3 linked regions of the Arabidopsis thaliana genome follow. The protein of the gene in region 2 interacts with the protein of the main gene of each other region in a pairwise test. Each region holds a gene or a part of one and is shown on either strand. Other genes may lie near its edges.

What was found.
Region 1: the proteins of PUT1 (region 2) and GDU4 interact in a protein complementation assay, tested with the Arabidopsis thaliana proteins (one large-scale study listed by BioGRID).
Region 3: the proteins of PUT1 (region 2) and AT2G20780 interact in a protein complementation assay, tested with the Arabidopsis thaliana proteins (one large-scale study listed by BioGRID).

The regions. Positions count from the first base shown.
Region 1 is NC_003071.7:10,557,519-10,560,883, forward strand, and holds GDU4 (glutamine dumper 4), read left to right. Parts: upstream 1-1,654; 5' UTR 1,655-1,960; coding exon 1,961-2,431; 3' UTR 2,432-2,721; downstream 2,722-3,365. UniProt on the Arabidopsis thaliana protein: Probable subunit of an amino acid transporter involved in the regulation of the amino acid metabolism. Stimulates amino acid export by activating nonselective amino acid facilitators.
Region 2 is NC_003070.9:11,415,904-11,420,350, reverse strand, and holds PUT1 (Amino acid permease family protein), read left to right. Parts: upstream 1-1,886; 5' UTR 1,887-2,084; intron 2,085-2,185; 5' UTR 2,186-2,211; coding exon 2,212-3,660; 3' UTR 3,661-3,900; downstream 3,901-4,447. Other genes in the region: PUT2 (Amino acid permease family protein), read left to right, coding at 1-1,476; NFD3 (Ribosomal L18p/L5e family protein), read left to right, coding at 3,995-4,106.
Region 3 is NC_003071.7:8,946,713-8,951,169, forward strand, and holds AT2G20780 (Major facilitator superfamily protein), read right to left. Parts: upstream 2,718-4,457; 5' UTR 2,459-2,717; coding exon 2,245-2,458; coding exon of another isoform or gene 2,182-2,244; intron 2,151-2,181; coding exon 784-2,150; 3' UTR 530-783; downstream 1-529. Other genes in the region: GCL2 (GCR2-like 2), read left to right, coding at 1-329; AT2G20784 (uncharacterized protein), read left to right, coding at 2,909-3,064; AT2G20790 (clathrin adaptor complexes medium subunit family protein), read right to left, coding at 3,450-3,515, 3,627-3,674, 3,758-3,814, 3,889-4,457. UniProt on the Arabidopsis thaliana protein: Plasma membrane sugar-proton symporter.

The sequences.
Region 1 (3,365 bases), on a different chromosome or scaffold from region 2:
TCTTATATATTTGTAAGAATTTAGTTTGAAAAACAGACATGGTCCTTTAAAATGGAACCTGTGAAAAAATATAAACTTAATTCTTTTAACAAAAAGAAAAGAAAAAGTTTATAACATTTGGGGCACAAATTTGCACCTGATCACTACATTTTAATATGATGACAGCTTTATGGATTATTGAGGTAGTGCACCTGGTGCACGGTAGTTGGTGTGATAGTAACAATTGGAAAAAAAAAAAAAAAAAAATCCCACATATGACTTTTATTTGCACTTTTGAAATTTTTTTTCTTTATTTTTCTTTTAAAAATATATTTTTAATATGTAAAATTACTAAATTAACTTTCTTAAATTAATAACAATTAATCAAAAACATATATATTTTAATATCAAATCAATTTATTTGTAATAATTAAAATAATTCAAAATATATATTTAGGGTAATAAATTTTTGAATTTGTTAGTCTTTTATAACTAACAATTCCAAATCTTTATTGCCCTAAATATGTTTTTCTAAACAATAATGACTAACAATATTCTACCGATATTAAGTCATGATTTTTTTTAAGCCATGTGTTATGGTGCAGATTTTAATATTCATTATTATTGTAAAACATTAAATAATTTACTTTGCAAAAAAAAAAGGAGAATTATTGAATTCAAGCAAAGTTTGGTGATATGTTAAGTTGAAAATTGTGTTTGGACTACTCGAGATTATTTTATTTTATATAAGTCCGATTGGTAACACAAAACTGTACAAAATTTTAGCTGTTAGCTATAACCAAAACTTTTTTTGGAATAGTGCAAAGTTGTACAAAAGAATTATACGAGAAAGCTGTACAGTAAAGTTAAGAGTAAAACTTTTTGTAATGTTTTTGATAAAGTTAATTTTTGCGAATGATAACTCTCAAAATAGTACAAGTTATATCGCTTTGAGAATGTGTTACCATTTAAAACCTATAACATGACAAATATTAAGTGATAGACTTTATAATACTTTTAGATATAGAAAAATTGAGAGATAGAAAATTTCTTCATCCAAAAAGAAAGAGAGAAGTTGGATTCCCAATTTGCGGGATCCCAAAAAAATAAAATCCCCATTAGGCATCATAGTGTGTCCTCACAAGAAGATAGATATCGTGCCATAAATTAGAACTGAGAGTAAGGGGTCTTGGAATCCATCTCTCACTCTCATTCCTCTGTCACTTCCAGAAACCAAACTATTCATCTATCTAAATTGATCTATTTGGCTTAAAGTATCTTAGAGTCATCAAGAGGAAACCCCTTGTCTTTCCAAAAACTTTCTCGATATCATGCTATCACTGACATATTATTGGATATAAGACTTATAAGTCTAATACCCAATTATTGTAGTTTGTGTAGTTGATTGATGTCAAAGTTCATATGGTTTCAAATTTATTGGTAAATATTATGATTGATATCCTTTTTTTGATTTTAAAAATCACCATTTATATATTTTTCAACAACCGTTAAGCAAAAATTTTAAACCAATCTGCGGTAGTTCTTGTAGGCATTTTTCAAGTTTTTTTTAGTGTAGTTTCTTAAAGATACTAAAATTTAATTTATCGTGTCTAGTTTAAATTTGTGTAATTAATGTTCGCTATCTTTCTTTAAAAAAACAAGCACCTTAACATATATATGTGTCTATAACAAAGTAAGTTTGAGTACATAATATTGCATGCAAATATATGCGGCAAAACTAAAAAGTAATAAACGGCAAATGAAAAAAAAAGCTGCTTTAATTCAAATAATTAAATATTCGGAGTGACTCACTTTCTTTTTCCCCAGGGACTTCTTACCTATAAATATAACACCTCACCACACCCATTGTTTCATTCATCTTTCCAGCTTTCTTCACTTTTTCCTTTATATAAAGTTAGAAAAACAAAAAAAACAAAATAGTTAGAAAAAATCTGAGAGAAACAGAAGAAACATAAAAAAAATGAGGCCATTGAGCATTAAACCAACATCGTTAGATGTAGCTAGACATGCCACATCAGTAGAATCATTTGGGAATCACCGACCGCCGATATCGCCGTGGCACTCACCGGTGCCGTACCTATTCGGTGGTCTTGCGGCGATGTTAGGCCTCATAGCCTTCGCTTTACTTATCCTAGCCTGCTCTTACTGGCGCTTGTCAACCTCCGGTGATGACTCCGGCGAAAGAGTCGACGAGGAAAAAGAGAGTCGGTCTGGAGTGAAGGCGGCTAGCGCGGCGTGCGAGGAGAAGGTTCTTGTCATAATGGCCGGAGATGACTTGCCGAGGTTTCTGGCCACGCCGGCGGCGAACAAATGCATGTGCGGTCACGAGGGTAGAATGGTAATTTTCAAGGAGGATGGTATTGGTGCTGGAGAGGAGAAAATGGGAGACAGAGAGAAAGCCAAAGAAAATGAAGAAACAACGAGTCAGTGAGCTTTTTTGTTTTCTTTTCTTCTCTCAGTCTTGTCTTTTTTTTTTTGTTGGGGAATTTTCCTTCGTGTTTTCACGGGAAATGTAAAATTTACTGAGAGAAAATTTTGGGTTATGATTAATGAATGTTTGCTTGTAATTTCCTATCCCCAATGGTGGAAAACTCGTTTTTAGTTTTTGTAATTCTCAAAAGTGTGATAGGTAACCTTTCTCATACAGCTTTAATACCAATCAGTAATAGAGTAAACTAAAACGGAATAACATAATAGTACTTAAAATTCTTACAATTTTATGTCATCACTAAGATCTACAAAAAAATGAATCATAGTATCATAACACTATGTTTGCCCAAAAAAAAAAAAAAAAGTATCATAACACTATTGATCATAAATTCAAAGCTTGCAATGTTTCGATGGAAACGTGATTCATCCCGTACACAAACTGTAATTTTATATACATTTTCAGAAACTAATGTAATGCATTAACCCTTTTGTATTACGTATATATTCTCACATTTTATATTTTGTAAGGAGATTCGTTTAGTTACTTTAATTATGAATTGTTATAATTGTGTCTCCTCCATGTATTTGTGTTACTTTCATATTTTCCTTGCATTTATATATTTTATTTACCATAGGATAGTTCTGAATTTGCTATCAACTTGGATATTTTAAATTAATTGAGACTCCATCTAGTTCACCGTCAAATTTTAACTATACTTGTTTAACTATACTTGTTATATAACGAGTGAATAAACTGGAAATAGTATTACTATTAACTATGAACTTACATTCGTAATATTCGAAAATATGTGCGTGAGTTAGTCTTGTCACAAGAAAAGGAATCATATTCTTTTTTTCATTAAACAAAAATTGGAAACACATATTATGGTATAAATCAAAAGATAATTCGATTACTTGCCCCATTTGCCTGCTTT
Region 2 (4,447 bases):
AGAATCATCACTGTGAACCCCTCCGCGTCTATTGAGATGAGTCAGTACGAGAATAATGAAGTTCCTTACTCAAGTGTCGGTGCTGATGAGGTTCCATCATCACCGCCTAAAGCTACCGATAAGATTCGGAAAGTTTCCATGTTGCCACTTGTTTTCCTCATATTCTATGAAGTCTCAGGAGGTCCTTTTGGTGTAGAGGATAGTGTGAATGCAGCAGGACCATTATTAGCTCTTCTAGGGTTTGTGATCTTTCCTTTCATTTGGAGTATCCCTGAGGCTTTGATTACTGCGGAGATGGGAACAATGTATCCCGAGAATGGTGGTTATGTTGTGTGGGTTTCCTCTGCTTTGGGACCTTTTTGGGGGTTTCAGCAAGGTTGGATGAAATGGCTTAGTGGTGTTATTGATAACGCTTTGTATCCTGTTCTGTTTCTTGACTATTTGAAGTCTGGAGTCCCGGCTTTAGGTAGCGGTTTACCGAGAGTTGCATCGATCTTGGTGCTGACTATTTTGTTGACGTATCTGAACTACAGGGGACTAACTATAGTTGGTTGGGTTGCTGTGCTTATGGGAGTTTTCTCCATCCTTCCGTTTGCTGTGATGGGTTTGATTTCGATTCCGCAGCTAGAGCCTTCGAGATGGCTTGTGATGGACTTAGGGAATGTGAACTGGAATTTGTATCTTAACACGCTTTTCTGGAATCTAAACTATTGGGACTCGATTAGTACACTAGCTGGTGAAGTTGAAAACCCCAACCATACACTTCCAAAGGCTTTGTTTTATGGTGTGATCTTAGTTGCTTGTTCTTACATCTTCCCTCTTTTGGCTGGAATCGGGGCAATCCCGCTAGAGCGTGAGAAATGGACAGATGGGTATTTTTCTGATGTGGCCAAAGCTCTTGGTGGAGCGTGGTTGAGATGGTGGGTTCAAGCGGCTGCAGCTACATCAAACATGGGAATGTTTATAGCCGAGATGAGTAGTGACTCTTTTCAGCTTCTCGGAATGGCTGAGCGCGGTATGCTTCCCGAGTTCTTTGCCAAAAGGTCACGTTACGGGACACCTTTACTAGGGATTCTGTTTTCAGCGTCAGGTGTTGTTCTCTTGTCTTGGCTAAGCTTTCAAGAGATTGTAGCTGCAGAGAACTTACTCTACTGCGTTGGTATGATCTTAGAGTTTATAGCGTTTGTTAGAATGAGAATGAAACACCCTGCTGCATCAAGACCGTACAAGATACCTATTGGAACCACAGGTTCGATCCTCATGTGTATTCCTCCAACCATACTGATCTGTGCTGTTGTAGCACTCTCGTCTCTTAAAGTAGCTGCAGTGAGCATTGTGATGATGATCATTGGTTTCCTGATACATCCTTTACTGAACCATATGGATCGAAAGAGATGGGTCAAATTCTCCATCAGTTCTGACTTACCGGACCTTCAACAGCAGACTCGGGAATACGAAGAAACTCTAATACGTTAAGAATGTCCTTAGTTATTTCCCTCGTCTATGTTAAGTACAGAGCTTGGAAGCTATAGCCAAAAAAGCTTAATTTCTCATAGTCTGTACTCTGTTTTATTCACAGCTTGTTCTAAAGTTGTAGTTTTTTCGTAAAGTTAGGTCATCGTTAGCACGGTTCCAATAAAATGTGCAATGTTTGTATCTCTGTTATGTTTTTGTCGTTGCCATTGTCGATTTGAAACATGGCTTTGGAAATTTGAAGTCTTTGAACAAAACCTTCGATCAAAGTCTGGTCAACAGTTGCAAAGCTTGGATCTTTGGATAAGTTTTCATCACCAATGATTGGAAAGAGAGAAAAAACCCTCACAAAACCCCAAAAAGCAGTATCAGTGTTTGACACGCAAACAAAATCGCTATAGTCTCAATTGATCGGAGGTTCTATCACCATCGTCTCCATCTGCATAATTTATTAAATATTTAGGACTTGTCATTGATATGGACACTCTCAAAACAGAGAACCACAATTTCTTCAATCCTTTCCAGGATATGACAAGTACAACGATATGGGTGAGTTTTGTTTTCTTCTTAAAGCATCGCTCAATCTTCAGACAACCCTAGATTCTCTCACGGTTTGTACTTCTTTACCTCTCGTAAATGTTTAGACTTTCGTATAAGGATCCAAGAATTTATCTGATTGTTTTTTTTTCTTTGTTTCTTTGTGTTGATTCAGAAGGGAAGTATCATTAGTTCATTACCATGGGAGACTATAACATGAATGAATTTGCTTATGGTAATCTTTACGATGATGATGATGGCGATGTTGGTGGATCGTCTAAAGAAGGAAACAATTCGATTCAGAAAGTTTCAATGTTACCACTCGTTTTCCTCATATTCTACGAAGTCTCAGGAGGTCCTTTCGGTGCTGAAGGTAGTGTGAATGCAGCAGGACCATTGTTAGCTCTTTTAGGGTTTGTGATCTTCCCTTTCATTTGGTGTATCCCTGAGGCACTAATCACTGCGGAGATGAGTACAATGTTTCCAATAAACGGCGGTTTTGTTGTTTGGGTCTCCTCTGCTTTGGGAACCTTTTGGGGGTTTCAAGTAGGTTGGATGAAATGGCTTTGCGGTGTTATTGATAACGCTTTGTATCCTGTTCTTTTCCTCGATTATTTGAAGTCCGCGGTCCCGGCTTTAGCTACTGGTTTGCCAAGAGTTGCATCGATCTTGATCTTGACTCTATTGCTTACTTACTTAAACTATAGAGGACTAACCATTGTTGGTTGGACCGCTGTGTTTATGGGAGTTTTCTCTATGCTTCCGTTTGCTGTAATGAGTCTGGTTTCTATTCCGCAGCTCGAGCCTTCGAGATGGCTTGTGATGGATTTAGGAAATGTCAACTGGAACTTGTATCTCAACACGCTTTTATGGAATCTGAACTACTGGGATTCGGTTAGTACACTGGCCGGTGAAGTGGCAAATCCGAAGAAAACACTTCCTAAGGCTTTGTGTTACGGTGTTATCTTTGTCGCTCTTTCGAACTTCCTCCCTCTTTTGTCTGGAACCGGGGCTATACCGTTGGATCGTGAGTTATGGACAGATGGATATCTAGCTGAGGTTGCTAAAGCCATCGGTGGAGGATGGTTACAATTGTGGGTTCAAGCGGCTGCAGCTACATCAAACATGGGAATGTTTTTAGCCGAAATGAGTAGTGATTCCTTTCAGCTACTTGGAATGGCTGAACTCGGTATACTTCCCGAGATCTTTGCGCAAAGATCTCGCTACGGGACACCTTTACTAGGGATTCTGTTTTCAGCCTCAGGTGTTTTACTCTTGTCAGGATTAAGCTTTCAAGAGATTATAGCTGCAGAGAATTTGCTTTACTGTGGTGGAATGATTTTGGAGTTTATAGCATTTGTTAGACTGAGGAAGAAACATCCGGCTGCATCGAGACCGTATAAGATACCTGTTGGAACCGTTGGTTCGATTCTGATATGTGTCCCTCCGATTGTACTGATATGTTTGGTTATTGTTCTATCTACTATTAAAGTGGCTCTTGTGAGCTTTGTGATGGTGGTCATTGGTTTCTTGATGAAACCTTGTTTAAATCATATGGATGGAAAGAAATGGGTCAAATTCTCAGTCTGTTCTGATTTGGCAGAGTTTCAGAAGGAGAATTTGGATTGTGAAGAGTCTTTGTTACGTTAGGGATACAAAGGTAAAAAAGCTTGGAACCTATAGTCAAACTCAAACAAACTGTATATCTTTCTGCTCGTTTTTTACTTTTTGTTCAAATTCTTTGTTCTCTGTTTAAGATCATAAGCACAAGAAGATATGTGTAAATGTTGTATCATTCAGTTTTTCTTTTGAAATGAAACCCATTGGTGATAGCCCAATACGTTTATGGAGGCCCATGAGAGCCCAATAAGTAATACAAAATTCATTTGTAGATCTACCGTTTATGTACGATGTGATCGAGATGCTCACAAATGTTTGAAAGAAGAAAAAACCCTAAACCCCCAAAATTTGCTTCGAGAAGAAAATGAATGGTGTCTCTCGTCATCTTCGAGCTTCTTCACTTCTTTCATTAATTCGCAGCTATGGTGGAATCAATTCGGTCTGTCGATTTTCGTCTCAATCTGATGGCTTCTCTGGTTCGTCATTTCCCATTTTTATCTCTCCCGATCCATATTTTGCTTCTTCAATTTTGAGTTATGACCCAGAACTATGATTGAATCGAGAACAATTTTCTTCTGGGTTTGATCTGATTTATGCATTTGAGTTGTACAATCAATATTTTGGATTTGGCGTTTAAGTTTTCCACTATCGTCAAGTGATGTTGTCCTCCATGAAAATGTGTAATTTCGTTATTAGGTATTGTTCAGGATTCTAACCTTTGCCTAGAAGTACAGAACGAGGATTTGAATCAATTAGTCTCAAGGATCAGCTTCTTATGGCTCTTTAACAATTTGCTGTATTCAGAAATTAGGCAATT
Region 3 (4,457 bases), on a different chromosome or scaffold from region 2:
AGAGAGAGTTTCTGGAAGCGAGTGCAGCTGCAGCAGAGGTGGTTTGGAACCGTGGATTGCTCAAGCGCGTGGGGATCTGTCATGGAATAAGTGGGAACGCATATGTTTTTCTTGCGCTTTACAGAGCTACGGGAAGGAGTGAGTATCTATACCGTGCAAAAGCCTTTGCCAGTTTCCTGCTTGATAGAGGCCCCAAGTTACTCTCAAAAGGAGAAATGCATGGAGGTGATAGTCCTTATTCCTTGTTTGAAGGCGTTGCAGGCATGGCCTATCTCTTCCTTGACATGGTCGACCCATCTGAAGCCAGGTTCCCAGGTTACGAGCTTTAAACTTCTTGATCGATAACAATCTCCGTCCATCAAATCCTTCTCTCTTGTTATGGAGGATGCACAAGGTAAGAGAGGGTGTGAGTGTATGTGTGTTTAGTACTAGCAAAATCTTCTTGTTGTTTGATGGTGAATAAGTTTGAGTTGATATATAGCCGAACTGTCCGGAGAGCCTGTAACTTTATGAGTGTTAGAAGGAGAGTGTGAAACATGAAGTGAACACAAAGGTTCTGTCATTTCTGTATATATTGTCTTTTGAGTTGAGTATCACATGGTTTCTTCTTGAAACAAGGAACAAAAAAACAGAGCAGTTGGTTTCTTTGGAATATGCACTGGGTCTATACCATCATCAAACGCACTTACAAAATCTATCTTACGTTCTTTGGATCTAATGCAAGAACAGAACACCATAAGAGTATCTTTTCACTTCTGCCTCTTCTACTTTAACATGATCAATTCAAAACTCCTGTTCCTTGCGCACAAGACGCTCAGCATCTCCAAGCTCAACTTCACCGTCTTTTCTTTCCAGCCCACCCTGAAACATCAACTCTATCTGCTCCAGTGACTTCCCGCTTGTCTCGGGGACTAGCACATACACGAAGATAACTGAGAGTGCAGACACGAGGGAGAAAACGAAGAAGGTTCCTCCAACAGTGATGGCACGTGACACAGAGAGGAAGGACATGGCCACCAGACCGCTGCACACCCTGTTCCCAACCGCCCCAAGCGCAGATGCCTGGGCTCTTAATCGTAATGGAAAGATCTCTGATGTCAAGACCCAGCAAACAGGTCCCATTCCTATGGAGAAGAAGGCAACGTTTCCACAAACAAAGAGAAGCGCCAAGGTTATCCCAAGCGTTCCTTGGCCGAGGAATGTGAGCGTAAAGCTTAGACAAAAGAGACACAGAGTCATTCCTATTGTGCTCACATAAAGCAGCGGTTTCCGGCCAACACTATCAATCAGGAAGGTGGCAAATAGTATGAACACTGTTTTCGTGACACCAACAGCGACAGTTGCAGCGAGCAGTTTGGTCTCGTCTTGTATCCCAGCCTCTTTCAGGATCTCTGGACTATAGTAGACTGTGGCGTCAATTCCTGTGATCTGCTGGAAACACTGGATTCCAAATCCAACAATCAGCATTTTCCGTACAACAGGAGATGGGCTAAGAAGCTCACGCCACACGGGCCTGTCCTCGCTGCCTTCTGTATGTGCAGCCGCCAGTTGTATCTCTGCAAGCCGCTCTTCCGCTTCGTCATCTCGCTCATTCGTTTTCATGAGCACCTCTCGTGCACTGTCCACTCGGCCTTTCATCACCAGCCACCTCGGCGACTCAGGGATCACACACAGCGCAAATCCTATGAACACCGAAGGAAGAATCCCAACTGCAAGCATGATCCTCCAGCTGATATGCACGGAAAGCCCCGAGAAAGCGTAGTTCGAAACATAGCCCAGCAAGATCCCTAGATTTATGAAGATCTCAGGGAACGAAGTGAAAAATCCTCTAGCTACGGTGGGGGATATCTCGGCGATGTAGACAGGAGCGATCATGACACCAAGCCCAATCCCAATGCCGGCTAAAGTTCTCCCTATCATCAAAACCTCGAAAGACGGAGCGACAGCCATCACGGCAGCACCAGTCTGGAAGACGAGAGCAGCCAAGGCCATGGTCCATTTTCTACCGATAGAGTCAGAGGTTCTGCCGCCGGCTAAGCTGCCAAAGAGTGAGATGATGCTAAGGCTACCAATGAGCACTTCCGTCTGCACCTCCGTTATTTTGAGATCCTGCTGTATGAACAACACCGCACCGCTCATTACCCCAACATCTGACAAATACCAAAAACAGAGCACACATACCTTTTTGTAAGTCAACAAAGTAAAGAAGAAGAAGAAGAATCCGATTATATAAGTAAAACCGACCGTAGCCGAGAAGAACATTGTTCAAGGATGCAAAAAAGGCACAAGCCATAACGTATTTTCTGGTTCTACTGTTTCTAGCCTCTGCTTCACGATGATTCTGCGATTCCTCCGCGTCGGAGTCCATTCTCTGATACTTATTCTTCTTATTTCCGACAGAGACCGCCGGAAAACCCGAGCCACCGCCATTACCAACCTCCGGAAGATTCTTCATCATCTCCCTCCGCCGAGGCTTCAGACAGCAGACTCAGGTGGTGTCTGTTTTCGGAAAAAAAGAGAATTCAGACAACGACTTGAGGAAGAAAGTCGTAGATCTCGGAAGAAGGGCTTTAGATGACCAGATCTGAACCGGAGAGACTTCTTAGAAATCTCATCGTCTCTATTTGACCAAATTGGTGGAATTTTCTAATGAGGTAATCCAATTTTCAAAAGACAACTTGACTCCTTCCATTAACATTACGTTTCAAGAAATAGGATTTTTTTTCTTTTCTTAAAGCGTAAAAAAAGTTGGAAAGATATTTAAGAACTTATTAAATTAAGATAGATTAGAGTTTTCAAGGTAATAACAGCTCATCTGTTAGCTTAGCACACACTCTTAAAAGGCATGAAAACATTTATTGAAAACTAAATAAATCAGGGTTTCGAGTTTGGACAGTTAACCTTTATTATGAAAAAAATGGAATTAACCTCCAATGGCAGCTTGCTCCCTATGAATGAGATCTGTCGGTGGTTATTCCAAGCTCATTGGAACTACAGAGACAGTGTCATTGACGTGGCAACAACAATCTTTAAATTGATTGATATTTTTCTTCTAATTTTGTAATTTCATAAAATACAGACCTCATATTGCTGCAAACCTTGGATTATAATCTCCTTTATGAGCTGGATATATACTATATCTAGATAGCATTCTCTATATAGAGCAATTTCTTTCTTAGGCTTGTAGACTAATTATGAAACAGTGGCAACTTCATGAACACAACCACCTTACGAGTTTTATTATCACATGTTCCATTCCAGACAGATTTGCAACTAAAACAACATTCATCTTTCTTTATCTCTCAAGAAACAACAATAATGTACAGATACACTTCCGCTGTAAAAATCAAACTGCTCATTCATACGTTTAATGCTTTCAAACTCAAACAAATAAATCACTTCCTTGGGATGGGAAAATACAATACCAGTGAGGCTGCGACTTGGGGAAATCACACGACGGCTGCTGATGGAGCTTTCCCCAATGTGTTCCACAATATATAATCCCCTGAAGTCACCTGTTTACGCACATATCATGTAGAGCGCCTTTAGAGTTTTATCCAATCCGGTTCAAACGTTTCCTGTGCACTTCAATATTTATACACTATATATTGTTGGCAGTGTCTTACCTGAGCAGAAAACTCAACCGGTGACTTTGTGGTTGGGTAGATATTGACCTAGTAAAACAAAAGGAGGCCATAATAAGTCGATAATATGGGCTAACACTGTTAACTAATCATTGCAAGTTGCGAAAGCTTACTGATTTTGTGTCGATTGACATTCGAGATACAGATGCCCCGACAATCTTGAACGAGACCTGTAAACCAGAAGATAGATTTGAACAACAACCAAGTCCAAAAGATTTCAAAAGGAAGCCAAAGACATACATACCTTGGCATAGTCATAGGCTTGCCAGCAGAACGGTTCCTCCAACTCAGCTGCTGGGAGATCCTTGTTCATTTTCTGCACCAAGAAGTCCTCCACGTTCACCACATTCTCAGCGCTCTCATCCTCACTCTCTTCATCATCCCCATCCCCTTTTCTTCTGCTCTGCAATGGACTAAACTTGATTGTCCCAGGGAAAGTTGCCTCAAGGCTTTTCCCAGAAAGACTACGTCCGCTGCCCAGAATCCTCCACTCAACAGAGTGTTCTGTGGTTAAAACAGTCCCAGCTGACGGAGTCCCATCAAATGCCACTATCCGTCTCCGTGGAAAGGGCATAGTAATAGTGCAAAATTCCATTGACAGAGGAGCCTTGTAACCTTCCATGAGGTGCACCTTGAAGAGGAATGCACCCTCGTCTTCTGAAACCATTGATAGCTGATAGAACCCTTTCACTGGTGGTCCGAGTCCACAACCTGCCTGGTATCGCATGAGAACAAAGTTACCCAAGGGAGGCTGGAAAACAATGTTCTGCTTGTCAATCCCATGTGCTGGAACTTGGGCACATGGATGGAAAG